Linked DNA regions of Oreochromis niloticus. The protein of the gene in region 4 binds, or shares a complex with, the protein of the main gene of each other region. Links are inferred from orthologs where the notes say so. Each region holds a gene or a part of one and is shown on either strand. Other genes may lie near its edges. The genes, in order: serpind1, fgg, fga and f2.

Region 1 (6,940 bases), on a different chromosome or scaffold from region 4:
TTAATAGTAATAGTTTTAGGTCTTAACACATTAAATATTTAAATAGTAAAGTTGAAATTTTCTTTTTTAGAGCACCCCCTTTGTTGAAAAAAAAAAAATTTTTTTACAAGATTAAGCTTTATTCACAGAAGTGACTGTTTCACTTCAGCCTTAGAGTAAGAACATTTTCAAAATTCTGTTTTCTGAGCACGCTTCTACATTAGTGTCATTGCAGAAGATAAAACATTAACAGACAGATAAGCATTTATTGAGTTATTCAGAGACACTCTGTGCTTTGAGTTATGTAAGGGAGAACTTTAAATGTTCAGTTGGAGGCTATACTCGCATGAAATATTCTTTACTTGATGTCAACTTCTAAAATCAGCCAAATCTAGTCGGTCATTCTAAGCAGGCTTGTCATGAATAGTTTAGCTGTGCAACACAACTTTTTGTTTAGCTCTGGGAGGGATTGGCCACCCGGCCCATGAACACGAGGCAGTCCGTGCGGTGCTCGTAGATCAGGAAGAGGAAGGGGTGATCGACGACGAAGCGAATTTGAGAGGAGAGCGGCATGAAGCCCACCTGAGTCAGAGCAGCAGCTTCTGTTCCCTCTTCATTCACAGTGATGATTCCTTGGTGCTTCAGCTACAGAGAGAAATCAGAATCTGTACATTACTTTGAAACAGCAGGAAGTATTGTATGCTGTTAATAAGATGTCCAGGTGACTGAATGGATCACAGATCATGATCATTTGTCAGCGATTTGCTATTACTCACCCAGTTCATGGAAACTCTTTCAGAGGTCATGCCAGAGAAATCTGCAGTCTCCTCAAACACGCCAGTGAGGCCCATCTTCTTCAGGTTTTCAATCAAGTCATAGTTTTGCTCCAGTTTAAACCGAGGTAGCACAATCTCACGTGTCCTGAAGGGGACATAGAAGTTTGTCATAGTTGAATCATTTTAAATCGCAACAATATCCAAACTTTTTTTCCACTTTTCCCCATAAACCAGTAGCTTTAAAAGATCCTCTACTGAAAAACTTTAGTGACTCAGCTGCTGACCTGTTTGTCATGTTTTTGAGCCACTTATTGACGACAGTGGGAGAGATCTCCTGCTCCAAGGACCTCATGCCAGTGAGCTTCCTTGGCAAGGCGATGAGCATGCTGATGTTTCCTGTGTATGGGAGCTGAAAAAAGGAAATTTGATCTTTTTGTGGTGCTGTTAGGTTAAACTGTTTACGCGTCCCTGTTTGTGAGAACATTTTTGTTGAAGATTGGCACTCAGCATTGAATCAGTATGTGGCCACCCACCTGTAGGACATCACAGTCTAATTCATGATCGGCAGCAGCTAGATAGTTCCCCTTGTTTGTCATCATTGGCACACGTACATTTGTTTTTTCATTAACTCTGAAGTTGCGATAGTGAGTCATTTCTTTAGGGAATTTTTGCTCCCAAGTTCCTGTTTAGTCAAACAAATAAAGTCAAACAGCCATGTTGAAATCATAGGGGTCTTTTGAAAGCATGTCATATTTTTTTCTCTCACCTTTGAAGTACAGGTAGTTAAGCAGCATCAGCACCATATTTGGATCCACACTCTTCAGCGGTTCCCGAATCAGCCCTTTAGTGAGCTTTTGTATGCGCTGGTTTGCCTTAGCCAGAAAGGCAGGGTCTCTGAAGTCCACTGACTGAGGCTCTGCAAAATAGTAATTCTTTGTCTCTGCCCGGAAAGTGTCTTTCACAGAGATGCTGTTCTTGACGTAGACATCATTTACAGAGCGCAATGTGTAGCCAAACTTCCTCCTGAAGAGCCTGTGTGTCAGCTTCCTGAAAAGCTTGTGCACTGTTGTGTTGTCATAGTGATGACTGGCGTTGACAAACTCAGCGAATCCCAGAACTTTGTAGATCTGATCATGGGTTTCAGATCTCGCACCTAAAGACATCATCCCCATGGCAATGGAGATCCCAGCGGGTGCTAGCAGGATGTTGTCAGTTTGGTTGACGTTGTTTCGAAGACTTCGATAGAGGTTAAAGCCAAAACGGCCATTCACCATGTTGAGGCGCTGAAGGCGAGAACGACCGTGGAACAGTCGCAGAAGTCTGGCACGGCGAATCTTTGGGTCAGAGGGTTCGGCAAAGATGTCAATGTCGGGGGCTGGTGTGGCAATCTCATCGACCTCATCCCCTTCACTGAAAGACATGTTTAGATTCATCATCTAACCATTTAAAAGTAGAGTAATAAGTAACTGTTTATTGTGGTTTGTACATGTGTCCCATAGTTGATGTGTATACACATATACACAGTTACATCATCAACACTACCAAGAAAAATATCACAAGCGTACAAGTGTTTATGTTGTAAACGAACTTTAGTTAATATACACTTTACGTATTTTTACAAAAACATATTTAAACAATCCACCCCAGTAAAAAAATTCACTAATACTCACATGTAGTCATCACTGCCTGCTGCTAGGATCTTATCAAAGTCAATATAATCTTCATCCTCAAAGCCATCAAATAGGTCATTAGTGACAGTGTTTTCCTTGTGGTACTCCAAGGGTAGGGACTCTATGTCCACTGTGCCATCTGCTTCGAAGCCTCTGGGGTCCGGTTTGGGGTCACTGAAGTGAGAGCTGAGATCTTTGATTCCAGCCAGAGATGGACTAGCCAGCAGACAGACTGCTGAGATGAGAGTGATGACCCACATCCTAATGGCTGAGGCAGAGGAAATGCATATTTAGCACGACCACTTTAAATAGATCTGATTCAATTAGATGCTTAAAAATCTGTAGATATGAAATAATTTCCTTGCTGTTGAAAAATTTAACCTAGTTTTTAAAAGAAAACAGCAGTTTGTCTGTAATAACGGTAATGTCTTACCTTTACTGGGTCGTGGTGTAAAGCCTTCTGTTGCTTCTGTTTGTAGGACTAAGAGCAAAGAATTGAATACACCACTGAACTTTGATGTGGGCTTCTCTTGAACAAATAAACCAGATCAAACAGACCAAAACGTCCTGTGACTGACTCCAACCTTTAACTCTTCACCATTCTGCTCACTTGTTAAGAATATATTTTACTAACAGTTAAATGTCCTGTAGTTCAGTAACACATTGTTTGCAGCTTTTAATTTATTTGTAAGCCTTACATTTTGTTAGTATGCATAATATCCAGTGTGTAATAACCTTTTGTACTCAAAGGGAGTACCAGTATTTTGTTTTTTATATTCACTTTTTGCATAAAATTATTGATTTAAGCAATAACAGTTATTGATTTAGAGCAATTATCTGTCTTGTCTGACTTTTTTTGACTCATAGTTGACCAGGAGGCTTCCACCAATCAAAGAGGCCAAGCCCCGCCTCCAGAAGCTGTTTAGGGACTTCTGGTTGTACTCAGTGGTCATGGGTTTCGCTGTGGAAGGATCAGGTAAGCAAAGAATTAAGTAATTTTCATATGCTTTGCATACAGAAGAATGGTTGAGCACCATATCCTATCACATGAATGTGAAGTGATATTCAAAGCTTCGTGCCATGAGTTGGCATTTATGGGGTTAAGCTCCTCCCATGATGAGGCTCCTTGCCGTGTTCAGCACTGATGTTTTGGAATCTCAAGGCATCTGTGGCTTTCATTTGTAAAACATAGATCATGTAGTTGTTTGCTTAGACTTGTACGAGCAGAATTACAAGAAATATAATAATCATGAAGATTTTACACCAAAAATATAAAGATAGATCAATTGTCACAAACCTAATTTAATTTTAAGATTCACCATAAACATAAGATTCATAGGTCTGTGTCAGTGTCTAACCAGAAGTACTAGGAGGTGCTTCTGCAGTAGCCAGGGGTATGTGGAGTGGTTAGCTCAATTAACTTTGCAAGGAGTGAAGAACTGAGTAGAATTTAACAAGATCTAGAAGGGAAAGGTAATAGATGCATAGTCAGTAGTACATAGTAGTCAGAAGTTATTAAAAGAAATACATTAACAGTTATAATTTAGAATGAAATTGTTGGCTTACAGTGAAATTATTAAACATGATTGTATATAATTTCCTTAGAGATTAATAAAGTATTCTGAAAACAAAGTTGTTGCACAAACTTTGAGGATAAATCAGCGAAATTGATCAGTAATAGATGTTAAATTAAGTAATATCTAAAAATAAAAGAAACGTTCCAAATTCTGTTCAAAATGGATTCAGCTTATTTTGAAGAAAGGTTGTTTTTTTTTTTCCTGGTACATCTGCCATGGCTGTGTTGATATGTGGATATTTCTTGAAATATCTTTTGTCTTTTTAGGGCTTTGGCCAGAGGAGTGGTATGAAGGTGTGTGTGAGATTGCTACCAAGTCTCCTCTTCTCACCTTCCCCAGTGGAGAACCTCTGCGGTCTGAGCTACAGTACAACTCAGCTCTGAAAAACGACACCGTCACCCCGGTACAGTGTTCAAAATAGTTTTGATTTGTTTTTTTTTAATTAAAGGAATACCAGAATTAATATTTAGGTGTTCAAATCTTTTTTTCCTCCAGGCAGAGTTAAGTGAACTGCGGTCAACCATCAGCAATCTCCTTGACCCACCTCCTGAAGGGTCTGCCCTCATTAACAAGCTAGACTTTGCCATGTCCACATACCTGCTCTCCGTCTACCGATTAGAATACATGAGGTCAGCTCTATTGGCATGAGCTTAATTTCCTTGTCTTTTCTCACCTTTGATTGCTTAAGTGAGGTCAAAATGTGCAAAAATGTAATTTCCTCCTGTTATCTCTCTCAGGATGCTGCGGTCCAATGATCCTGATAGGTTCCAGGTCATGTTTCGATACTTTGAAGACAAAGCAATCCAGAAAGACAAATCTGGTGAGAGCTTTGTGCCCGAATCAATTTAATCATCCTGTTGTCTTTTTAATATATGGAGCCCATTTTCTCAGTTTTCCTTTTTTGCAGGCATGATGCAGTGCATCATTTGTGTTGGCGACAAGGTATTTGATGTTTTCCTTCAGATGATGGCTGAGAAGGTAGGGGGCATTTAAATAGTAAAATATGTGGAGCTTGCAAAATTTAATTAGTTCAGATTTTAAAAAATCATTTTGTTTCTTATGCTTTCAGGCAAAGACCAAAGAACACGAAGAGGAATTAGAGCGTCATGCCCAATTCTTGTTGGTGAACTTCAATCATACCCACAAGAGGATCCGCAGAGTAGCAGACAAATACCTCTCTGGTTTGGCTGAGACGTGAGTAGAAATCATTTAGTTACCTTGTCTGCTTTTTCCTCGCTTATCATTTTTTCTAAGCGTTTTTATGTCCTTCTATCTGAACCAGATTCCCTCATCTACTCTGGAGCGGTCGTGTGTTGAAGACCATGTTGGATATTCTGCAGACACTCTCTCTGTCACTAAGTGCTGTGAGTATGAGGAGAGGCTTGATGTGATAGACAAAGTGCCAGGTTCTTTGTTTGAGTGCCTGGTTCTCGGTCCCTGTACCGATAACATAATGCAGAGTCAGCAAGTCGCTGTGCTGTGGTCGAATAAAAGAGGTTTTAAGTTGTTTTTGTGGAAACTGATGAGATCTCATAGAAGTGTTTAAATAGATGCAAATATAGACTTCATGTGAACAAAATGTATTCTCCTTTACTTTAGGACATTCACAAGGACCAGCCATACTATGACATTCCCGACACCCCATACAGGATCACTGTTCCTGACACATATGAAGCCAGAGAGGTGAGTTTGGCCTGTTATTACACTTCTGACCACTAGAGGGCAGCATAGCATGGGCTTCAACAATAGTAGGGAGAGAGTTCTTTTTTAAGTGTAAACTGTATTATAATGGTGGACTGAGGTTTGGGCTCTTGAAAAAACTGTAGGAATTAAATAAACAAATGGCATTTAGTTTGTGCTACAATTTATTTTACTCAGTGATTGTCCGCCACTCTTGTTCTTAGTAAAGTAGCACTATGTCTTTATTTCCCAACTCCTTTTAGAGCATAGTAAAAGACTTTGCTGCTCGCTGTGGTGAGATCCTGAAAGAAGCAATGAAATGGGCTCCTTCGGTCACAAAGTCTCACCTACAGGTTCGTTTCTTTTACGTTTTTATTTAATAGATGGCCTCTATTAATTTATTTTAAGCAAGCAATTAACTTTTACCTGTTTTGAAAAGGAGTGTTTACTTTGAGTAAACAAGGCATAAGTGACTGTAAATGATTCTTGTCATATCTGTTATTTGGATTTTTCTTGCAGGAGTATCTGAACAAGCATCAGATCTGGGTGTCAGGACTGTCACAGCACACTGGCCTTGCAATGGCCACAGAGAGCATACTTCACTTTGCAGGCTACAACAGACAGAGTACTACACTAGGCGTGAGTCACAGATACACTTCCATCCATGGCTTCACACAAATCCTTCCGATCACCGCAGTTATCATACTGTAAATATTGGATTTAACCCCCGATTAAATGTCAAGATAAATTTAGACAAAATGAGCCAAACTGATGGTGAGATAGAATCTACTGCATTTTAGCAATTCTGCAGAAAGATAACGTTCACTAAACCAATACGGTATTTTTTTATATATAGTTTAGATGCAAATTAGTGCAAAGATACGGTTTTACCAAAGATGTATGTAGTCAGAATACTTAGAGGGCAGTAGATGACAAGAGCAAGAGCATTTTGGTAACATACTGTACTTGGAACAAACTGCAAACTAAGAATGTTTAATTCCAAATGGCCTCCCAGGTTTGTTGATTGAATGCTCATTAACAACTGTCCAACATAAAGTGCTTTTTAACATGCCATGTGCAATTTAGCAGCTTTGCCAAAGACGTTGGCTTTTTGTTTGTATTCAGAAAAAGTTTCGTGTTGTTTTTTTTGTTGTGCACATATAGCTTGTGTGTTTTATTTTGTAGCTCTTTAAAAAATTTGTAGAAGTCTATGTTCACGTGTGCATGCTTACTAGTCTGTGTGACATTATTTTGCTTG
Region 2 (7,092 bases), on a different chromosome or scaffold from region 4:
AGCAGACAAACACAGGTAGTTGCATTATTAACATAAAAAGTTTACTTCCACAAAAACACACCAGCAGAACCAAATAAAGTCTGTGTGAATTACGCTGACTGCAAATCTGCTACATTTCCTGATATTAGAAGAATTACTGATGATGATAATGTACTTTTTACACATTAGTTTGTGATATGTGGACAACAAAGTGTCAGTGTCCCCGCATGTGTTACTGCAGATCACACCACCTTCAGCTGAGGCGACTTAACCGCGCGCGGCCGCAGGTTGAACCCGAATGTGGCCAAACCGCAAACCTTTGCCCTCCATCCTGGGGAGATTTACGCCACGGTCAAACAGCTCCAGAATTATAGTTGTGACCGCTGAAGCATCCAAACAAGGCTCTTTAAATTTAATTCCTGGTCAGACGACCTGTGAACTATGCTGACTTTGTTTTTCAGCTTTGGTGCTTAAGTTGATTACTGACAGAAGGACGTATTTTCTTAAGATGTGGAATGTGAATGTTTTCATTTTAAAGAAAACTGCATTTATTCTGCATAATATTCTTTGGACCTATTTCCAGAGTATGCACAGTCTTTATAAAGAAAACTAAAAACTTGCTTTTTTTGGTTGCTTTGCATCCTGATAACGTGCGACAGTGTAAGAATGTCAGTCGGGCATGAGTGTGTGAACGCATCGACAACAGCCCAAAACACATCTAAACATCCTGAACCCGGTGTTTAGAGAGCGTGCTCGTGTCTTCATGGCACTTAAAGAAAGAAAGAGGCACTTTCCATCTGGTGTCGCTAGAAAGTTCAGCAAAAGTTCAACACTGTTTAGGTTCATGGGCCTGGCAGTTCATTCTCAGGTCAGCGAGGCTTTATATCCATCCTGGGCCTGTTTTTTTCCACATAATAAAACCTGGTCACACAAAGGTAGTCAAGGTTTATCATTTAATGTCAACATGGGGCCCACAGATCAACCATTATTAAGCTATATTAAGTCACATGTATCTTTAGTGTTTGTTCTGTTGTAATAAAAAGAGGTGTGTTTGCTCACAGCACCTTGAAGAGATGGCCACGGAAAAACAATTTTCAGCAGCTACACCTATTTAAAACTACACAGCATCTTTGGAAGGATCTGTTTACTTACTCGTGTCTGCTTATTTGATTTTTCCACCATACTCTGAAATTATAGCAGTGAAGTCTGCAAACAATTTGACAGTAGAAATAAAAGTCAGTTCATTCATAAAAAGACAGTAGAGGCACTTTCAAACTCATCTGCCTCATGAGAGCATGTTTCCTGTAACTGTGACTCAAACAAGCAGAGCAGCATGAAACTGGAGCCTTGTGATGAGCTGAATTGGTGCTTTTACTGGGCACACACAAAATTGCATTAGTGCATGCATTTTTACCTGTAGTTTAGTTTAATATTAACTGTATTGTCTCGCTCTCTGTTAGTGGGGGTTAGCTTAACCCTCCATGGTATGATCCATGATCCATCCAACTGATCCTTAAAATTTCATTTCATCTTTTTTAATTTAATGGCACAAGACTATTCAGTAAAATGAGGCACAGAAGAGAGTTTGACCTTTGACCCAGGGATGAAGAGATCCTTCCGGGAGCCAAATCCGGATTGGACGTAATGCCAGCTGCTTTTAAGACTAGTGTCTCCTTTATCTCTTTAAATTGAAATAAACATATTAAAAATATGCATGTACAGAAATATATATTTTTTTAAATGTTAAAGTATTTAAAGAAGTAAGACACACTTTGATTTAACTTATTTACCAAAACAGCATTGTTGTAGGTCATTTTCTACAACATTATGCAGTTACATTACAATAATGTTTTGTTTCTAAACTCTGGTCCTTGGAACTGCTTGTTTTAGGTGTTTAGGTGCTTCTATGCCCCCACAGCACTTGATTTAAGTGATTTAATACCCACCTGATCATTTGACGTGTATGAGCAGGGATTACAGTCACGTTCCCAGAGCATTGTGTAATGGCATATATAAGCTGGCAGCATGAACTTGTAGAGAAATGGGTAGAGGATATTAGCTAATTTGATGATTGCTTTGTCAACAGGGAACCCCAAGGGTGAAATTCATGTGATAGAGTAGTATAAAGGCTAGTATAAAATTCCTCATGATGTATGCATGTATCAGTATGTGTATTTTTATGTATGCAGTAGTTAGCAAGAAGGCTTGGGGCTCAAATGCACTGGATTCATGCTTCACTAACTCAGTTAGCTGTTATTTCCCAACACCATAATAAAGGTCAAAAGCCCTCTGGGCCTGTGGACACTGTGGAGTAAAGCTGAATATGTGTTCATGTATTGTCTTATGGGTATTAAACAACTAAGTACTATTGATAAATACAATAAAAGTTCCCTCAGAAACACAGAAGACACGGAAGTCATAGAATCATCTAGAAAATTACATGTGCATTCATGATGAGATTACTTCAGATGGACTGAATAGGACTATATGTCCCTCTAAAATAAAGCAACTTTATAAAATGTTTTATAATGCATTCATCTACAACAAAGCTGTTGTTATTTACATTGACTTGTCCATGAAATTGAAATTAGCCCCTGACAAAGAGTGCTCCAGTTACTCATTAATCATATCTGAGTTTTCTTTGACCACACGCCACAGTTTGGGGTTTTTTCTTTGCTCTTTCATGTTGGTCTGTATTTGCTTCAGTTCAGCTCCAGCTCAGTCAACAATAACGCAGCAGCACATGTGCTCCTTATAAATTAAGCCTGTAACTTAGCTGCTTTGTTTTCCTAGAAAAGTAGATTTTTCCTGCAGAATTAAGGAAGAGGATCGTTAGTGTTCCCCTGCATACATACAGACTGCAAAGTCCACAGGGATTATTCCACTATGATTCTTTCCAACAGCATTTTGTTCACAGACACTTTGTAACAGAAACTTGTTTTCATGAAACTTCAGTAAGGCAAAGCTTACTTCAGTGCTGTCTAATGTAGCTTATTTTCAAAGATTTAGATAGTTCAGAAAATTGTGTTATTGTTGTGTCCCAAGTTTTCTGTTCTTGCTCAGCAACAACAAAAAAATAACCGTTTAAAAGTCAGTTCACTGCATCAGACTGAATCCTGCTAAAGTCTTCAGTTTGTTGGTGTGTTTGGTGTCCTGTATGTGTCTTGTGGGGTCTATTGTGATTCCACTCCCACTAGTGGTTGGTTTTACATGCCTGTGCAGTCAACTTTCAAAATAAAAGTTTCAAAGTATCACAGCCTGCCCTGTTACACTAAAACAGTTTGTCTAGTAAACATATTTTAGCGACATTATAAAGCCTGGTGGATTCACTACAGAAAGGTTTTAAAGCTGTTTGCATTCAGTGATGGCTTTACAAGCAGGCTGCGCGATGTAGTTATGATGAAGGCATTTCCTGCTTTATACCATGACCGTATCATCACATGTCAGAAACCACAGATAACTACTTTGCTAGGGTTAGGGGACCCTTGTTAGGATAGTAAAGAATAGTAATAATTTTAGCCGGCTGACTGAGAATCAAAGTCATCATTAAATAAAATTACTGTTGTCGGGAGAAAAGTCTCATTCAGGCAAGTCTGAATTAAGCAAGCCAAAGTCAGTAATCATCATAATGATTTATTAATGTGTGCTGTTAATAATTGTAATTGTTCATCAGTCTAAAATATAAAAACAATGTGTTTAATCCTGTTTTTGTTCACAGGAACATATTATGGCATTTTTTCAAGGAATGCTTGTTGTCTGTGTTTTATCAAGCAAAGTTTAAGAAAAGTAAATAAACTATGTTACAATCTGAACTCTTGGCTAGAGCGAGCTCAATTGCGCTGGTTTCCAAATTCAATAATACTGTCAGGTCTTAAAGTGCGAGTCACGATTTCTTCCAACTTGTTGACAGCTTTACCATCATCAGAGTTTACAAAGACGTACAGTACATGGCAATCTCATAGAAGTGTCCTTTACCACAGCTATCAGTTGCAGACCGCATCAACTCCTGGCAATGATGTCTGTTGGACATTTGAGTCATGGGATTTTCACAACAAAGTGAGTGGGATTGTTTACCTATGAACCCCTTATCAAAGTCTGGACTGAGGACCTTGTTCAGATAAATAACCAACAGAGTCGAGCTTCTCTTCATTCTCCAACAAGACGAAAACACAACTGGCGGCCAAAGCAACATGGCTCCATCACTTCTTACAACAGCAGGAGGACTTTTGTTACTTTTCTCCTTCTCGTCAGCAGTAAGTCACTGAGCACTCTTGCAGTTTTGCTGATGTAGTTTTATTGAGCATAAAAATTATATTTATTGTTCCTTTTTTTTGTGCAGCAAATCCGAGGAGACAACATACAAGAATGCACCCCCAATGATGGCTTTGTAAGTGCGCAACTTTAAATCAAAGCTTCTTCCAGTATGGATTCTATTATTATAAAAGCACACCATCATAAAGAGTTTTGTTTGTTTTGTTGACATGCTCCATCTGTGTTTAGGGAAAATACTGTCCAACCACATGTGGAGTTGCTGATTACATGCAAAGATATACAGAAATGGTGGACCACGATTTGGACCAGTTGCTAAGGGAACTGGAAACAATTGCCAATTTGACTCGAGGGGCTGAAGAAACAATTACTTACATGAAAGATACAACTGTGGCACATCAAAAGAGCTCTGACCCAGGTAACGCAGTTATTTTGTGACGTTTAATCATCTTAACACTTACATTAATGCGATCAGGTTGAACAGCATATTGATGCGAAATCGAGAATACAGTCAAACCGGCTCATTTTTTCCATTTCAGACGTGCATTTCAAAAAGTCAACAAGTATCCTGGATGATGTTGTTCGGTTTGAGAAGACCATAATTGCTCAAGAACAGCAAATATTGTAAGTTACCTTACCAAAAGTTCAATGCATACTCTTACAACAGTTAGTTACTCCACTGCATTTAGTTACAATGCTCGTTTGTTGATTGATTTTTTTAAATCAACGACATATAAATTATTCTTTTTTTAATATAATGTGTTGTTGCTGAATAAACATGAACTTCTGTCAGGTTCTCAATGTGAAGATGCAAAACACAAAACTCTAAAGGAAGCTTGAAACTGAATTTCTATACATAGCAGCATCAGTGTCCACCTATTCCCACAGTTCAGTGTACTCAGGAGACATTTGTTACCCACACTACGTCCCTAAAAATCTATTGACCTTATACGTTAAATTAGATCTTTGTATAAGTTCAGGTTCATACTTAGGATTCATCTCAGCTTTTTATCTGTGTATAAAACCAAGGTACAGCTCATAGACTGTAATCCTCTCTTTCCAGTGAACTTCAGAACGTAATCTCCTCCAATGAGAGAAGAATGGCAGACTTGAAACAGCTCTCGAATCAGCTGCAGCAGAAATGCAATGAGCCCTGCAGAGACACAGTTGAGATCCAACCCACCACAGGAACAGGTAAAAAAAGAAGAAGAAGAAGAAATAATATGACCTCTAGGTTATTTCTGTTTCACAAGAAGTTTCTCAATCTTGTCTCATCTGAACAACATTTGTTGTCTTTCAGCATTTAGTCACAGGCTAAAATCAATATGCTGCTTCAGAGCAGAGCAAACATTTATCCTAGATGTAATGTCCTGTGACCTTTTGTAGTGGATGTGATTACATAATTATTTACCCAACTTAGAAAATATTCCGGTTTTTGTGTTTCATAATAGGCTGCTCATTTTTAAAAAATATGTTTTTCTAATCAGACTGCCAGGACGTTGCAAACAAGGGCGCCACCACCAGCGGTCTTTACTATGTGAAGCCATTAAAATCAACGGAGCAGTTCCTGGTCTATTGTGAGATTGACAGCTTTGGACGTGGCTTCACAGTAATACAAAGAGTACGTATCATTGATCTTACACTTAGTGATTCCTGTGTATTTTATCTATTTTAATTAATCTTTACATTTATGTAAAATTAAATATTCACTACAATTTTCATTAAGTCATGAAGGCATTAAATCATGTTTTGTTAACTAAGTGGTGAAACCACCCAATAAACTGATGACTCTGATCACGCCTTCCTGCCTACAGAGACGTGATGGCAGTCTGGACTTCCACAAGAACTGGGTCCAGTACAAGGAGGGCTTCGGTTATCTCTCACCAGATGACACCACAGAGTTCTGGTTAGGTAACGAGAAGATTCACGCGCTCACTACCAGCACCAACTTCCCCACTGTGCTCAGGATAGAGCTTGTTGACTGGGAGGGCAACAAAAGGTACACACACACACACACATGATAACAGATTATGTAAGAAAGGGACTTGTGGACAAGGCAAACATGACCGCTCTAGTAGCGAGGTTACCTTAGAGGAAGAAAAGAGATGATTCAACAGTTGTTACCACAAACTAACTTTAGATCCACGATTCTCTGTGGCCGTATTTCTCCAGGTATGCCGACTATAACATGTTCAGAGTGGGGCCAGAGATCGACATGTACCGGATGACCTATGGTTTCTACTTCGGTGGAGATGCAGGAGATGCATTTGATGGTTTTGACTTTGGAGATGACCCCAGCGACAAGTTCTACACAGCACACAACGGCATGCAGTTCAGCACCTTTGACAAGGACAACGACAAGTACGACGGCAACTGTGCTCAGCAGGACGGCTCTGGGTGGTGGATGAACAGATGTCATGCTGCACATTTGAATGGAAAATACTACCAGGGTAAGACCCTCCTGGCTAAAAGCAGCCACAGTTAGCATAAACAGAGACAAAAGTACTAATTAATGTGAGCTCTAAACTGTTTGCATTATCTTTATGCAGGTGGCAGGTACACTGAAAAGGATGCTGGTGAATTTGGCTTCGACAACGGCATCATTTGGGTCACGTGGCACAACCGCTGGTACTCCCTGAAAGAGACCACCATGAAGCTCATTCCCCTCAGTCGCATCACAGCAGGAGGACAGCAGGCTGGAGTCAAACAGTTTGGTGGACTTGGAGACGCTTAAAAAAAGGGACCAGGTTTTTGTTATGCTCTCACTAACAGCCCTGAAAACTCCTTAGATTAAATAAAATGCCTCCATGGAAACTTACTGACTTTTTGTTTTTCTGTAATGTC
Region 3 (7,056 bases), on a different chromosome or scaffold from region 4:
CGCAAAAAAGGTTGGGGACCGCTGGCTTAAAGCACTTGTTGCAGGCTGCCGAGTTTGCATCTTTTGCTGTGAAGTACAGCCAGACTTTTGACCGTTTCGCCTTGGGCATTTTTAATCTGTAGCTCTGCTCTAAAAGAACGTACGTACCTGGCCCCGCCTACTATCCTCAGAAACGTAAAATGATTGGCTAGAATTGGCTCAGGAAAAAAAAAGCACCGAAATGTGCGCTGCTTTTCGGTCTGGTTATTACCGTTTATGTCAGAACCGGACACCGGTACCCATCCCTAATTACAAATAAATATCAAGAATATTGTCAGCAACATTACTGAGTAGAAAAGAGCGTGTGTAAAAAGGACGTAGCTATTGCAGTGTTTACAGTGTATTAGTTGGAGGAGTTGTACAGGGAGATGGCCACAGGCAGGAATGATTTCCTGTGTCGTTCAGTGGTGCTTACGGTGCGCACACACCGAACGCGATAGAGGCGGCCAGAGCGTCAGGTGTACATGTAAAGTCAATGGAAAGAGCGCGATGACACGCGATTGCGCATCCGGCGAACATGCGGAAGCAGATTTGCGTCGCGAAAACGCCAAAACCCGTGAAACGCGCGTCAGTGTACCGCGTGGGGCGCGTTTGACTCGCGAAGAAAACCACGCGTGTCAGATTGTGTGCTGCATTTTGTGCACACGCCCATACCGCGCCAACCGCTGGAGTTGGAAAATATGAACTCCGGCGTCAAATCGCGCCCCGACAACCAATCAGGAGGCCGGTGACGTGGCTGTAACCAGGTCACAGGGGCAGATCAAACCAAAGCTCTTCATTCTTCATTCCGTATGGAGGAAAAACTCATCACTGCCGTGGCTAATCACCCAGAGCTGTATGATGCCAGCTGCTACTTCTACCGAGACAGGAATAAAAAGGACCGAGCTTGGAGGCACAGAAGTGAGGAGATCGGGCAACCTGGTAAGTTCATTCATTCTCCTTTTTAATTTTCAGACTGACCCGATAAAGCCGCGCAAAAGCTAGCAAGCCCGCCTACTGTCCCGCTATTTTCCCACTGATGTACAAATACCTTTCCGCTAACAAGATAATGTGTTTATTCAGAGGACATCTGCAGCACAACACATCTGGCACAACTTCCTCCCACATTTCCGGTCCACGCGCGTGGAAAGATGCAATTTTGAGGCGCGATGGGTTTTTCTTGGACACGCGTTGAGGTGCGAATGTGCACGCGTCAAATTAGGGGCGTTTAGGGCGTTTTCGCTCGCCTCTATCGCGTTCGGTGTGAACGCAGCCAAGTCTCTCACTGAACGTGCTCCTGTGACTGACCAGCATGTCATGTCATGGAGTGGGTGGGAGGAATTATCCAACATTGTCTTTATCTTGGACAACATCCGCCTCTCCGACACCACCTTAAGGGAATCCAGCTCCATCCCCACAACATTACTGTATCGCTTTGTTTTTGATTTGATAAATATTGATGTTCCTTATATTTGGTGTTAATGTGCAGCGCTTTGGTCAGGCTGGTTGTTGTTTTTAAAAGCGCTTTATAACTAAGCCAAGAGTGAATATAAAAAAAAATGTGGGCCGCTAAAGACATTGGGGGAATGGCCCTCCCAAATGTGAAGTTGTATAATTTAGCTTTTGAAATGTCAAGACTGGCCAAGCACTGGACAGGTTCGGACTCTGAGCTGAGCTGGATGAAGATTGAACAGGAACTAGTGAGCCCTTTTACACCCTTGGATGTTCTCTCACAGGGCTCAGCAATTAATGGACAAGACTTTCATAATAACCCAGTGCTCGGGTATTCTAAAGCTGTCTGGGTAGAGGTGCACAAGATGTGTGGAGCCTCTTATTTAAGACAACCTTATACCTCGCTATGGAACAACACTGCTGTACAGATTGGGAGAAAAATGGTGTTCTGGAAGGAATGGCTTGTCAAAGGCATACACAGGATAAGTGATCTTTACTCAGGGGGAGTGTTTATGTCATTCGCTGAAATAACCCAAAAATATGGTTTGATAGGAGAAAATAATTTTTGGAAATATTTACAAATAAGGGATTGTATTACCAAAGGAAAATTTACTCAAAGCACAAATATGGTGGTGGAGTTTTTAGAATTGTCCAGTACAGCACATAGAGCAGCTGTTTTCTACAAACTGTTTAACAATCTAAAAAAAGAGATATGTGAAAACTTGAGGATTATATGGCAGAGAGATTTGAGTTGTGCAATTTCTAAAGAAGATTGGTGTAGAATTTTGTCATTCTCTGATAAATATATAAGAGAGGCCAGGGGTAAATTTACTCAGTACAAATTAATACACAGATGGTACTTCACTCCGTCCAAACTTTATAGAATGGGAATCAGTCCCAGTAATATATGCTGGAAATGTAGTTCAGATCCAGGGACATTTATGCATGCTATTTGGGAATGTGGGAAAGTTTATCCCTTCTGGCAAAAAGTATTGGACAAAATAGGAAGGTGGATTGGTTTAATAATACCCTTGTCACCAAGACTGTGCTTATTAGGGGATCGGTCGGCGTTGCCTGGGGTTTCAAAATATGACTTTGTGGTTATAAAGGTGGGGGTAATTGCAGCGGCCCAAGTTATTCTCAGTGTATGGAAGGAGCCATCTCCTCCAGAATATAATAGGTGGAAAGAAAATATGCTGAAAATGGTGTCGTATGAAAAATTCTTGGCTAGGATTAATGATGATAGGGAGGGTTTTGACAAATCATGGGGACGTGTTTTTGGCTGAGATGGTTGAAATTTATTTGGTCAGGACAATTATCTTTAGTTAAATTTTATGCTTGCTATGTTGTATGTTTGTGTAGGCACTCAGTAACGGAATAACTTAAGAATTTGATTGTATTGTCCTTTTTTTGTGTGTGTACTGATCCCAACCATGGGATTGGAAGCTGTCTTTTTTTTTTTTTTTCCTGTTGTTGTTTGGTTTGTTGTTTTGTTTTTGTTTGTATGTGGTTAAAGGTTAAAAACAAATAAAGACTTTAATTACAAAAAAAAAGCGCTTTATAACTAAAGTAGTATCCTATGGTACAAATAGATTTGTGCTTCAGTTCTGGTGATTGAAATTCCCAAAGTTTTATTTTGTGATGCTAAGCACTAATTAGCTGATATGCATCTCTGCATTTGACCTGTTCAGTTCATAAGTAGCAAGCTGCTAACTTAGCACTCCACACTTTTATCCAGAAAACATAACGTCTGGGTCTTAAAATCCAACATGGGTGCAGCCAGAAGCCTCATGTTGACGTGTAAAAGCAATGGTGGCTACATCCACTCAAGTTTCATAGTGTGAATGCCAACAAAGGAGCAGCATATACACATTTAAAAGAATGGACTTTTAAGATCTGGAGACACCAACCATTTTTAATATAAAGTCTTTGGTGACAAAGTATTTATGATTAGATTGATTTTATATACATTTACCTAATGGTTTACCTTAGAAAGAGAATAAAAATATGAAGCTTTAGCTAAGCGGCTTATACACGTACACCTTAACTTGAGAAGCTAAATCATTATTGTTATTTAAAAATTGTTATACATTTTATCATTGCATTGTTTTTTACCTGTATGTAGTTAACTTTTTTATTCTCTGGTGTTTTTTTGTGAAGCATTTTGTTATCTTTGTATTGAAAGGTAAATAAATGACATTTTACTGACGCATGTAATAATAATACAGAGAGATTCATTTATATTTTAACAAAACCCACGGTAATGCTGTAAAATGGGAGTAAATAGAAACTCTGTTCCATCATTTTAAAATCCTCTAATGTTTTTGTTGCCCTTTTCTGATTGAGTTCAGTTGAGTCAATGTTAGTGTCGTTGGTGTTTGTCACTATTTGGTTGGTGTAAAATGTACAGGAACTGACAAGAAATCCTGCTGCAACTGAACTGAGTAGGCAGCATGTTTGACTTTAGTGTGTGTGTTTGAATGCATTATTTTTGAGTAAAGATACACACAGTACAACAAACACATCGATTAGAAGCTGTTGCTCAACTCTGATCTGACCTGACCAGTGTTTGCTGATGACTCACCGGTTTGTGAAATTGAACCTGGAGGCTTCAAATGATCAGAGAGCAGCGTTAGAAAATCATTCAGCAACAACTCTTCACACAGAGAGCGAGTGACAGAAACGGCAACGATGGAGCGACTCTGTTTCCTTTTGTGTCTGATATGTGTGTCCTCAACACTGGTGAGTTTCTCTGATGTTTTTAAATAATTTTACAAAGATGTGGCACTGAAATTTTTTTTTTTTTTGTCATTTTAGTGTATGTACTGTGTTGTTTAATAAATAACAAGAATAATTATGTATTTACTGATCACTCATATGTTTATTATTTACTGATATGAATACATGAACATAGCATTTGGCTGTTCTATTTATAAAGATGTCGAGCGCACTGTCTTATTCATTATTTACTCTTTTATTTTACTACCTAAGTTTATTAGATATATTTCTGGTAATTATTATTATTATTATTATTGTTGATTTATATGAATATAGTAACAAAAGATTTAGAAGTTGTGGACGTTGGCTTGAGTAGAATGCTGAATACTGATCAATCAAAGAAACAGTCACTATCTTTAGCTGTTTTAACAATTCAAATAAAGGATGTGTAACTTAGCAGACCTAACAAAACAGAGCTTCATTTATACTTACAGTTTTTATATATATATTATTTAAAGCCAGTTAGTTAAATACTGCAGACTGATTAACTACTACTGACCTAAAAATTTTTGTATGTAATATTTAACCTCCTAAGACCCGAACTTTTCCACAGCATGCATTTTTAATTTCTCTTTGATATTTGAGCATATTGGGGCCCGATGAATGTAAAAACAAAGAATTACCAAAATGAAAAATGAGAGCCACATATGAGGATATTCATTTAAAATTTCGATAGAACAGTAGCAGCATAATGTCCTCGTAAGTGAATATCAGGCCCTTGTAGAGCAAAATTGAGTATTTTGGTCTAAATAACCCAAAATGTGATGTCCACATATGTGGACGCCAGGTAAATGGACTGATTCTTAAATAACGCTTTTCTACTCTCCCGGAGTACTCAAAGCGCTCTATACAACATGCCTCATTCACCCATTCATACAAGCACTTCTAAACACAAGTGCAACTAATAAGCATTCACACACATTCACACTCCGATGAACGCATCTTGGGGTTAGTATCTTTTCAAGGATATTTGGCATGCAGACTGAGGCAGCCAGGAATCAAACCACCAACCTTCCAATCAGTAGTTTATCTGCTCTACCACCTGAGCCACAGCCACCCCAGGGTCCTAGGAGGATGATAAGAAAAATAATTATGTACTAATAACAGTATAAAATTGAGTACATTTCAAAATAAATTTGCAATAAATAAATTTGAAAAGTATTTCTGCTTATATAATTATTGTAATTGTGTATTTTACTTTATAAATATTATTAATAAAATCTTTATTTGTGGGTAAGAAGCAAACAATTTAAGTATTTTTAGTCACTAGTATTATTCCAAAGAAACACCTCCTAATTTGAGCAGTTCAGTTGAAATTGGTTATACGTGTTATAATGTACATGTTTGATGTGCAGCATCTGTTTTTAAGATTTTTAGTTAGATTTATCAAAGAAGTTCAGTATGTATCACCAAGCCTTTAACCAGGGTTTTGTTTAAGTAGGGTTTCATTGTAAAAGTCATTGTTGTAGACCAAATGGACTAAAATAGCGGCTCTGTCACAAAGACTCTTTGTTTGCAACTATATGTGCATAGTCACCCCTCAAAAATACATTGTACACCACGAACAACCCAGAGACAATAGCTATGTTTTCTGCCCTAACTAAAACAATGTTGACTTTCTTGTCTTCGTCTAGGCCCAGATTGATCCCAGGGGAGGTCGTCCAGTGGAGCACGGCACCAGAAGTGAAAAATGTGCCACTGAGAAGGAATGGCCTTTCTGCACAGACGTTGAATGGGTATGCAGATTCCCTGTTGTCTCTCAGAGCTCAAGCTAGGCAAAGTTCTTATTGACCTCAATGAATGTGTGCAATTTTAAGATTCAATGTTTACAAGAAAGCTGGACTGGGGAAATTCCAGTTTCTGTCAGTGCAAAAGTCTAACTATGTACTTAATCGATAAGATTTCAAAATTATGTCTTAGTGTTTATATATGGTAAAGAGATGCTGCTATAACAAGTGAAGGAAATCTGTCAGCACGAGCCGATTGCAAGAATTAATGCTTAAAATGACAGAAATCTATAATAACTGGTATATTGTGAATGACCATGAGGGAGGTCTTTATGGGTAGGAAAAACTGTTAAACTTGTGAAAATACACTACAGAATGTACAATCCGGGCCAGACTGGAGCTTTTGTGCCTCTGGTTGTACTGCCAATTATTATAATAACCTGTTGTTCTGTATTTAAATGACTCTGATTTTTATGTGACACAGAAATAAGGAATAATTATGTCTTCTCTTTGGTCATCCATTAGGGCCCTAAATGTCCATCAGGCTGCAGGATCCAGGGTCTGATGGAGAAATACGATCACAATATGCTGAAGAAGATTGAGAAAATCCGCAGCCTGCTGGATCAAAACAAGGCCAAACATCGCTCCGCTGATACGGTGTCGAAACAGACCTACGACTACTTGAAAGAAAAGCTAACCACTGACGCTGGTTAGTGTGGCTTTGTGCACTTCTTCTGTTTCCCAGTCAAGAGTTTAATGGTTACAGGAACCCAGTCTAGGTGGTTATAGGATACCTGGAAGTTGTTTCACAGTTAAATAAATATCTGCATAAACTGATCAAAAGTGCAACCCTAACAAGCAGCTTTAAAGGTGTATCCAGTCATATTTAAAAGATATTTAATAGAAAGAAATGGGACATGGGAGTGCGCACCAGTTTGTGGAAGCCATCATGTTGTTTTATTCCCAGTATTATCTCAATTATTTATATCCAGCAGAACCCTCCCATCTCTGGACAGCTGAAAAAATGTGTTTAAACAAAAGTAAGAATCAGTCCATCCATTTATTAAACTAAATGTTTCCT
Region 4 (7,614 bases):
GTTTGGCAATTTTCTCTTTTGAAGCACGCCTGCAAGATCGGGATCGAAAGCGCTACACAACATGTTGAACAATTGCAAGTGAGTTTCTCCAAAAATTAAAATGGGCTCGGGAGAAAGCCACTTATTTGGGACAATCAGAAAACAAGTCCCTGTCAAAAAGGATTCAGCGAGGTAATCCAGTCTAAATTCTTTTTTCTTTTTTGAAATGACGTCATTGCTGGCAGTAGAAACTTATTGCGTCACGAGGTTCTACTGTCAGCAAATAAAAATGGGGACTGACTGGACTGACAAAAGCTTTGGCTGACTTGACACCAGTATGCAAGATTGCACCTCCACCTTGACCTGACAAAAGGGTGGATGTATGTATGTTTCTTTTACAGGAGCAGAAAGGTGACAGCAACAGGTTGTAGGGGCTTTTGGGCCATGCTGGTTTAACCTTTTAATTGTCACTTTCTGTGTCTTTGAATTTACCAGCGGTGTGTTATTCATGACCTTGTATTGCTTACAGTGCAGAGGTCACTGTGAGAAAGTGTGCATACAGATGCGCTACGCTAACATCTATTTTTCCACAGCAGAGGGTTAATCATATGATCTAATCACATGATTTACAGCAGGACACACCGCTGGCTAATGTTTTACCTTTTCTTAAGACAGGGCCTGGAGTGAAACTACTCCAGAGGAGAATCCCTGGGAAATTTTAAGAGACAATGCACAACTTCATTGTGCATGTCTAATTGTGCTAAGCTGACATAGGGCAAAAGAGGGTTTTCCGTGGAAGCTTTCATTTTTAAATTGCAGAGACCGTGACATGAGGGATATGGAAGGACTGACGCAGATACAGACCACGACCGGGAGAGAACGCTTCAAGAGGACCAGTGAGAAGCAGGGACCATCTGCAGGACAGCAGACAAACGACAGTGGGCTGCACCACTGGGCTTCCAAAAGATTGTCACGAGGAGATTTTGAACAGCAAAAATCTTAAAATAAAATGAAAGAGTTTCGCCGTTGACGTTGAGGAAGACAACTAAGGTGTACGACGTGCTCTGCCTTAAATCTACAGCTGCGTTGGAACAGACATCGAGGGATGAAGAGAGCGTGCCAAGCTCCAAAAGTGACAGCACAGAGGGAGATCAGCGTTGGAATTATGACTCTGTAAACGGCACAGACACCAGGAGCCATGACTGGGACTGGGAATGACCATCCAATGCTTTTTCACTTTGCCATGCAAAGTACTTTGACACTCTGGAGAAGACCTTTCCTCTGTATCATTGTTGTTGCCATTTGCATGTGAGAGCTTAGATTGGGGGGAAGATTAAAGATGAACAAAGGGTGGTGGGAGAACAGTGAAGTTAGGATACACAGTGTGAAACTCCTTTAAGTGTAAAATAATGTTGATGTAATATACAGAATGTTGGGAAAGAAATTCTGGTTTTAATGTGATTCTTGATTTGAGAATCAAAGGGTGGGATTGTAAAGGAATTTCTTTCACTTATGTATTAATCACATTATTTTATTGTAATGCCTTGGTGCCACTGGATTTTAACATGTCTGACACCCATACTGTAAGACAAATGGTGGGGGTCTAGTTAGGAAGTTGGGGGAAGCAGACAACTCCACAGGAAGAGTCTTTTGTCTCTTCCAGGGAGTGGTGAATCTTAAGGTGTGAAACATCTGTGTACTGCCTTTTGTTCCTGGAGAAGGTATTTAAGTGAGAGCCACCCTACTCTCAGTGAGACTCTGCTGACCCTGCCCCGTGGTCATGCAGGCTCTCCACCAAGCTTGGTTTTCTGTTCTTTGTGTGCTTTGATTAAAGAATGTTAGCTACCGCTCACCGCTCATCTGCAGGCTTTATTTAAGTGGAAAAACTTCCACAACAAAGAATGTTAGCTACCGCTCACCGCTCATCTGCAGGCTTTATTTAAGTGGAAAAACTTCCACAACACAAGAATGATATCAGTGAGAATCTGTCTGCAGATAACAGCATCAACAGGTACAGGCAGCAACAGGAACACCAATAGATACACAGGAAGAAAACAATACAGTACAGAAAGCGTTCAGCTTGTCAAATTTACATAAATCTTCGATCGCTAGCAGTGTACCTCTGAAGTGCTGTACTGTATGTTTGTACGTTTTCTCCAACAAACACAACAATGTAGACAAAACGTTTTGCACCATCAAAGGCACCTGTGGTAGCACCCAAAAGCCAGAGGATGACGCTAACCATCGCACAAAAAGTTGGACTTCTGGACATTCTATAAGAAGGTAGAAGTTACCATATTTTTGGATCATAAGGCACACCAGATTCCTATTGCTTCCTCTACTTCTGTACCATTGATTCATTAATGTTGAATTCTCTCGCAGCTGCTCTATTTCCATGTTCTTGACCTGAAAAGAGGGTTTCATCTTTGGTTTCATTCTATAACACCGGACTTATTTTTCTACGAAGGTTTGAACTTTGAGAGAGTTTAATCAAGAGAGAAAAATGTGAAAATGTTCACGCCTGTCTAAGAAAAGTGTATAAAGTGTGTAGTGAGGGGTTTTACAGCCTTAAACATCTATAGTAATTGTAAAAAAATAAGGCTGGCTACTTTTCAGATTTCACCTATCGTGGGTTATTTTTAGAACGTAACTCCCGCAATAAACGAGGGAACTCTGTATTCTGTTTTTGATCAGTTCCGTGGTCACCCAGCATTTTCCAGAATGTCAGCATCACTTCTTTAAACAACCAGTTGGATGACTTATGCCAGTTGGCACAACTACCCACTTTCTCCTGAAGCAGGCAATTTACAAAATGTACCTAATCAGATAAATGTTAAAAGACAGCTTAACAGCAGCTGCGTCTTTTTCTCCATCAGATTCCTGTCAACTCACAATCGACACAAACACAGTAAACAGAAAACTCCAACTATCTGACAACAACAGGAAGGTAACCCATCTGAAAGAGGATCAGTCATATCCTGATCATCCAGACAGATTTGACCGTCCTCAGCTGTTGTGTAACAATGGTCTGACTGGTCGTTGTTACTGGGAGGTCGAGTGGAGAGGAAGGGTTGATATTGCCGTGAGTTATAAAGGAATCAGAAGGAAAGGAGACAAAAACCACTCATGGCTTGGAAGGAATGATCAGTCCTGGTGTCTGGGCTACTTTCATGATGGTTACTCTTTGTGCCACAACAACAGTGTAACATTCATTCGTCTCCCCTCCTCATCCTCTGTCTCTAACAGAGTAGCAGTGTATGTGGATGCTGCTGCTGGCACTCTGTCCTTCTACAGAGTCTCTTCTGACAGCCTCAATCACATTCACACCTTCAACACCACATTCACTGAACCTCTTTATCCTGGGTTTGGGCTTCAGAATGACACCTCACTGACTATATGTGACTTAAAAGAAGACACGGAGAAAAACTCAGAACTCTGAAAAACAAACAAACATTAGCAATAAGCTGCCATAGTATTTTTTTTTTCAAAAGAGAACAGCAGCCAAAGCTTTTTTGCTTTAAAATCCTCCTAATATGGCTGCTGCTTTATCTTTAGGTGTGGGACTAAATAGTAATGGCAGTGTGTGTATGTACTCCAAGCTGTAGTTTCACACAGATTATAACAGCAAATCTTTGACAGCAGTACAAATTGCACCTTCTGATGGGATCATGGAATTACACGAATTCCTTCTAAATCACTGTTACTGCAAACTGAACATCCAGCCATTTTCTTAACTGCTTGACATATTGAGGTTCTGAGAAGGGTTGGAGACTGTCCCTGTTGGTGAGAGATATGACTTTCAACTGATCTCCAGTCACCAATCATCAGACGTTGAAAACAATTGATGGTGGTCTTTTCTTGATGTCCTGCTATGGTTGAAAAATTGACTTACTGGAGGTGAAAGAGCTAAGGGCCATTTCCACACCCAAATGAAAGTCTGATGTCAAAATTTGAGTATTTATTTGAAATGTAACATCTAGTGTTGCTTATTGAGCACATGGCCAAAACAAAAAGCCATTGTAGCCCTAACACATTGGTGCATATTAACTGTGGGTGGTGATGCCTAACTCCATACTTGTGTTTTAGAGAAAACCAAATCAGCCCATAGGGGTAGGGTTTGTGTCATCTCCAATAATGAACTTGACCTAACATTTTAAAAAAAATCTTATTTTAAATGTTGAATAATTTTTGTGTATGATGGGTTTGGACAGAACGATGGATCTTTTCGCTGACTTCAGGAACCCAAGACTATGATAACTGAATCTATCTACTGCCAGGTGATAGCTTTCGCCTGTAATGAAAGACCAGAACAACTGGTTTTATTATTATTAAACGATCAAAAACACTGCAGGTGTTCGAATGTAAGAAATGTCCCAAAGATGGTACAGGCCAAATCAAGACATTTTAAGATTTTTTTAGGGACTTGTTATTTTGTAAATTGTGACTTGCCATATGAATCTCATATGTTTTAATACCAAACAATAATTCATGTATAGTTTCAGAGCCGTTGTGTTAAACTACAGCAGTATTAACTCACAGTAGGACTCGAGTTGTTGAGAAAACCGACTTATCAGTCTGGCTCAAACTTTGACCCTTTGGTCCATAATCCCCCCCCCTCCAGAGGACGGACAGAGAGACAGAGACGGACAAACAAAGTACTCTGAGTACTGCTGGATCTGGTTCTGAGGTTCTGCTCAGAGGTCTGGATCATGATGGAACCAACATCAAAACCTGCTGCTGTTCTGCTGCTGTTTCTCCTGCACAGCTGTGTAGCAAACCATGGTAATGAACTCCTTTCCTCTTTAATGTAGGATCAAGGGTATTTGCAATGTGTACAATAACAGTAATATGAATAATCTAGATCAAAATTGTACTTTGATATGAATATGTGTATGTACATGTATGTATATACGTAGCAATTCATCTATAATGCATATTGTGCCATTTGAATATGATAAAATCTTCACTGATATTAGAAAGAAAAAAAAGTAGAAAAATGCATTTTGTGGGACCACAGAATGCATTTTTGTGTAAATCCAATCCCAAAAAGTTTATATTCAAACAGACAAAAATATATTTGATCAAAAAATGGAACTTAGAAAACATGTGAAATGTTTACGCTGAGTAAATGTACTATTTCAAAAACCGTACCTCATGTTGAATTTGATGGCAGCAGCACATCTGAAAGGCCTGTGTTTACCTGTGTATAGCTCTCCTCTCCTTTATCAACTGTATGTAAACATCAGGGATGAGGAGAGCAGCTGATGTGATTTTGAAAGAGGTACTTTGTCCCATTTTTGTCTGATAGAGGGTTCTAGCTGCTCAACAGTCCCAGGTCATCTTGCATTTGATCATTTGTGTGACTACAGAACAGATTTTAAATTAAACTGGAGGCTGAGTGTTGGTGATGCTGGAAGGGTTTAACTGATTTTCCATCTTTGTTGTAGTTTTTCTCAGCAGCCACCTCGCATCACAGGTTTTGGTCCGGAACAGACGAGCCAATCAGATGTTTGAGGAGCTGAAAGCAGGTGACCACACAGCAGCTTTTCTCCTCATTATTACATCCACTATTGTTCGACATCTTGACCATTCATATGATGATGTGTCTACTGAACTGAACAACACTTAAAAGAAACACTCGTAAAATCTCCTTGATTAAAATAAATGTTTGTACAGGGAGCAGGTTCATTTCTCTCCCTTTCGTATCTACTTCAGATTCAATTGTAATCACTTACTTTAGCATGCGCTGCAGGTTTGGAACAATATTAGCTTTGAGTCTTTGTTGACAGGAGGTGGGCAGAGACTGCTAAATGTTAGCATTAATTTTGGAAAGTAAATCAAAAAGAACCAAAAAGAGCCAAACAAAGACAACAAACAACTGTGAAGTGACACAAAATGACCCTAACATGTTTTACAGGTGCTCTCTATGTTTGTGTCTCATGATACTGTCACGATTACAGTGTGTTAATGTGGATTATTTCATATCAGGGAACCTGGAGAGAGAGTGTGTGGAGGAAATCTGTGACCACAATGAAGCCGGAGAGGTGTTCATGCAGCCAGTTGAAGCAGTATGTCTTTACTTCTCTCTGCGTCAGAAGCTTTAACAGTTCTGAGACAGTTCAAAGTCTAACTGCACAACAATCTCTCTTCCTACAGGAAAAATTCTGGAGCAAATACCTGGGTGAGATATACTGCATTTAAACATCATATATATTTGATACTAAGAGATACGTATAGGTATGATTTTTTTTTTTTTTATTACAGGGAAACTATATTTTCCATAACTATATTTTATTATATTAAACAAGAAAAACATTTCTTTCTTCAATTTTCTTGTTTTGTAGAAACAACAGTTCCAAAGTCATTCAGTTAGTGATGTTCGATTCGTGAACGAATCGTTCAATACTCGAGAATCACTTTACTGACTCGTGAATCATGATTCACAAGCGCAACTGACTCACTGACTCATCATTGTTGCTGTTAGCAAACTAATTCCATTAGTAGAAATATATCTAGCTTATAATTAAAATTGTGGGGAAAAAAACAACATCCAGTTTCCTAACAAAAACATTTCTGCTCTGAACTGGAAGAAAAAACCCTGAGTAGAAGCTCACATCAAGACAATAGCTCCTCGGTTCACAGTAGCATCGTTCAGCTAGCATGCTAACAGCACATTTGAGTTACTCACCCCCTCCCTTGCTGTGCTGAATCATAGCATAAGCGAATCACTCAGGACTCACTAACCCCCTCCCTCCTGGCTCACAGCTCAAACGAGTTGAACGAATCACTGACTCACTCACCCCCTCCCTTCCTGTTACGAATCACTCACTGGCCGTTTATCAATGCCCAAGTACGCGAGTACGTACTCGCGTTCTCGGTGAGTATGTACTCGCCGAGAACGCACGGGAGTACGTACCCGCCGAGAACGCGAGCACGGACTCGCGATTTGTACAATTGGAACACCTGCGTACGTGATGATGTCACAGGTCCGGAGTTTTTACTGCCGTCCCCTCTTAATTTAACTGTGAGTAACATGTTATGAAGCTTAACTGTAATCACAGCCAAACCGGTTTACTCAGGAACAAATAAAACACTGAAATAAACCAAACATTAACATTTAGAAGTGATCTAAGTGACTTATATATCATTTTTAACCTCAGTAGTGAAACCTCTATTAATAAAAATAGTGTACATGTACATACGTGTACATACCTTAATAAAAACAACCAGGTGAGATGTTAGAACGCTTTTATTTCTATTCTAGTGGACACTCAATACTATAGACAGCTGCTGGGGTTTCTTTAACCTGAGTAGTGAGAAGTGGGTGGTGGGGGGGGGTTGAAAACGATGTGCCGGGAGTCCGCTGTTGAGTTTTGGACGAAATGCATTCTGGGATATTTAGCTGTCCCAAGTCCACACCGATGCATGCTCGATAAAACGGGCGGATCGAGAACACATCCGGGACTTTTTCGCGTTCTCGGCTTGGTCTCCGACTGATGACGTATCACGAGTACACGAGAACGCAAGTACGCACAAGTACGCATATTGATAAATGCCCACTCACTCACCCCCTCCCTCCTGGCTCACAGCTTCTTCTTCTTCTTGGTTGGCAACCAATGTTAAGGTGCTTTACCG

What was found.
Region 1: the proteins of f2 (region 4) and serpind1 are in contact, whole or in part, in a crystal structure (PDB 1JMO), measured with the Homo sapiens proteins. The link is inferred for Oreochromis niloticus from reciprocal best matches to the Homo sapiens genes F2 and SERPIND1. Residues at the interface, in NP_000497.1 of Homo sapiens: Lys384, Ser385, Pro386, Gln387, Leu389, Leu390, Cys391, His406, Cys407, Tyr410, Pro412, Trp413, Asp414, Lys415, Leu423, Arg425, Ser430, Thr432, Arg433, Tyr434, Lys440, Ile441, Ser442, Met443, Asn458, Leu459, Lys470, Trp511, Ala513, Asn514; in NP_000176.2 of Homo sapiens: Glu75, Asp76, Asp77, Asp78, Tyr79, Leu80, Leu82, Ile85, Phe86, Asp89, Asp91, Val305, Glu306, Met307, Thr308, His309, Gln327, Asp343, His361, Lys362, Arg388, Thr457, Val458, Gly459, Phe460, Met461, Pro462, Leu463, Ser464, Thr465.
Region 2: the proteins of f2 (region 4) and fgg are in contact, whole or in part, in a crystal structure (PDB 2HWL), measured with the Homo sapiens proteins. The link is inferred for Oreochromis niloticus from reciprocal best matches to the Homo sapiens genes F2 and FGG. Residues at the interface, in NP_000497.1 of Homo sapiens: His450, Pro451, Arg452, Arg461, Arg486, Ala489, Ala490, Leu493, Ile530, Val531, Glu532, Arg533, Cys536, Asp546, Asn547, Met548, Phe549, Cys550, His605, Phe607, Arg608, Leu609, Lys610, Lys611, Trp612, Lys615; in NP_068656.2 of Homo sapiens: Pro439, Ala440, Glu441, Thr442, Glu443, Tyr444, Asp445, Ser446, Leu447, Tyr448.
Region 3: the proteins of f2 (region 4) and fga are in contact, whole or in part, in a crystal structure (PDB 2A45), measured with the Homo sapiens proteins. The link is inferred for Oreochromis niloticus from reciprocal best matches to the Homo sapiens genes F2 and FGA. Residues at the interface, in NP_000497.1 of Homo sapiens: Phe382, Lys384, Ser385, Gln387, Leu423, Arg425, Tyr434, Glu439, Lys440, Ile441, Ser442, Met443, Lys470; in NP_000499.1 of Homo sapiens: Trp52, Pro53, Phe54, Cys55, Ser56, Asp57, Glu58.

What each region holds. Positions count from the first base shown.
Region 1 is NC_031977.2:26,090,356-26,097,295, forward strand, and holds serpind1 (heparin cofactor 2), read right to left. Parts: upstream 3,018-6,940; 5' UTR 2,859-3,017; intron 2,694-2,858; 5' UTR 2,686-2,693; coding exon 2,426-2,685; intron 2,166-2,425; coding exon 1,522-2,165; intron 1,438-1,521; coding exon 1,289-1,437; intron 1,165-1,288; coding exon 1,040-1,164; intron 901-1,039; coding exon 756-900; intron 625-755; coding exon 433-624; 3' UTR 102-432; downstream 1-101. Other genes in the region: pi4kab (phosphatidylinositol 4-kinase, catalytic, alpha b), read left to right, coding at 3,293-3,401, 4,269-4,405, 4,498-4,631, 4,740-4,822, 4,910-4,980, 5,072-5,196, 5,285-5,366, 5,602-5,685 and 2 more. UniProt on the Homo sapiens protein: Thrombin inhibitor activated by the glycosaminoglycans, heparin or dermatan sulfate. In the presence of the latter, HC-II becomes the predominant thrombin inhibitor in place of antithrombin III (AT-III).
Region 2 is NC_031971.2:14,055,021-14,062,112, reverse strand, and holds the start of fgg (fibrinogen gamma chain), read left to right. Parts: upstream 1-4,071; 5' UTR 4,072-4,169; coding exon 4,170-4,232; intron 4,233-4,318; coding exon 4,319-4,366; intron 4,367-4,479; coding exon 4,480-4,666; intron 4,667-4,787; coding exon 4,788-4,872; intron 4,873-5,311; coding exon 5,312-5,442; intron 5,443-5,735; coding exon 5,736-5,869; intron 5,870-6,062; coding exon 6,063-6,247; intron 6,248-6,420; coding exon 6,421-6,698; intron 6,699-6,797; coding exon 6,798-6,982; 3' UTR 6,983-7,092. UniProt on the Homo sapiens protein: Together with fibrinogen alpha (FGA) and fibrinogen beta (FGB), polymerizes to form an insoluble fibrin matrix. Has a major function in hemostasis as one of the primary components of blood clots.
Region 3 is NC_031967.2:50,326,322-50,333,377, reverse strand, and holds the start of fga (fibrinogen alpha chain), read left to right. Parts: upstream 1-4,147; 5' UTR 4,148-4,161; coding exon 4,162-4,212; intron 4,213-5,882; coding exon 5,883-5,984; intron 5,985-6,500; coding exon 6,501-6,684; intron 6,685-7,056. UniProt on the Homo sapiens protein: Cleaved by the protease thrombin to yield monomers which, together with fibrinogen beta (FGB) and fibrinogen gamma (FGG), polymerize to form an insoluble fibrin matrix. Fibrin has a major function in hemostasis as one of the primary components of blood clots.
Region 4 is NC_031986.2:26,272,755-26,280,368, reverse strand, and holds the start of f2 (prothrombin), read left to right. Parts: upstream 1-4,603; 5' UTR 4,604-4,688; coding exon 4,689-4,761; intron 4,762-5,426; coding exon 5,427-5,507; intron 5,508-5,967; coding exon 5,968-6,047; intron 6,048-6,135; coding exon 6,136-6,160; intron 6,161-7,614. UniProt on the Homo sapiens protein: Thrombin, which cleaves bonds after Arg and Lys, converts fibrinogen to fibrin and activates factors V, VII, VIII, XIII, and, in complex with thrombomodulin, protein C. Functions in blood homeostasis, inflammation and wound healing.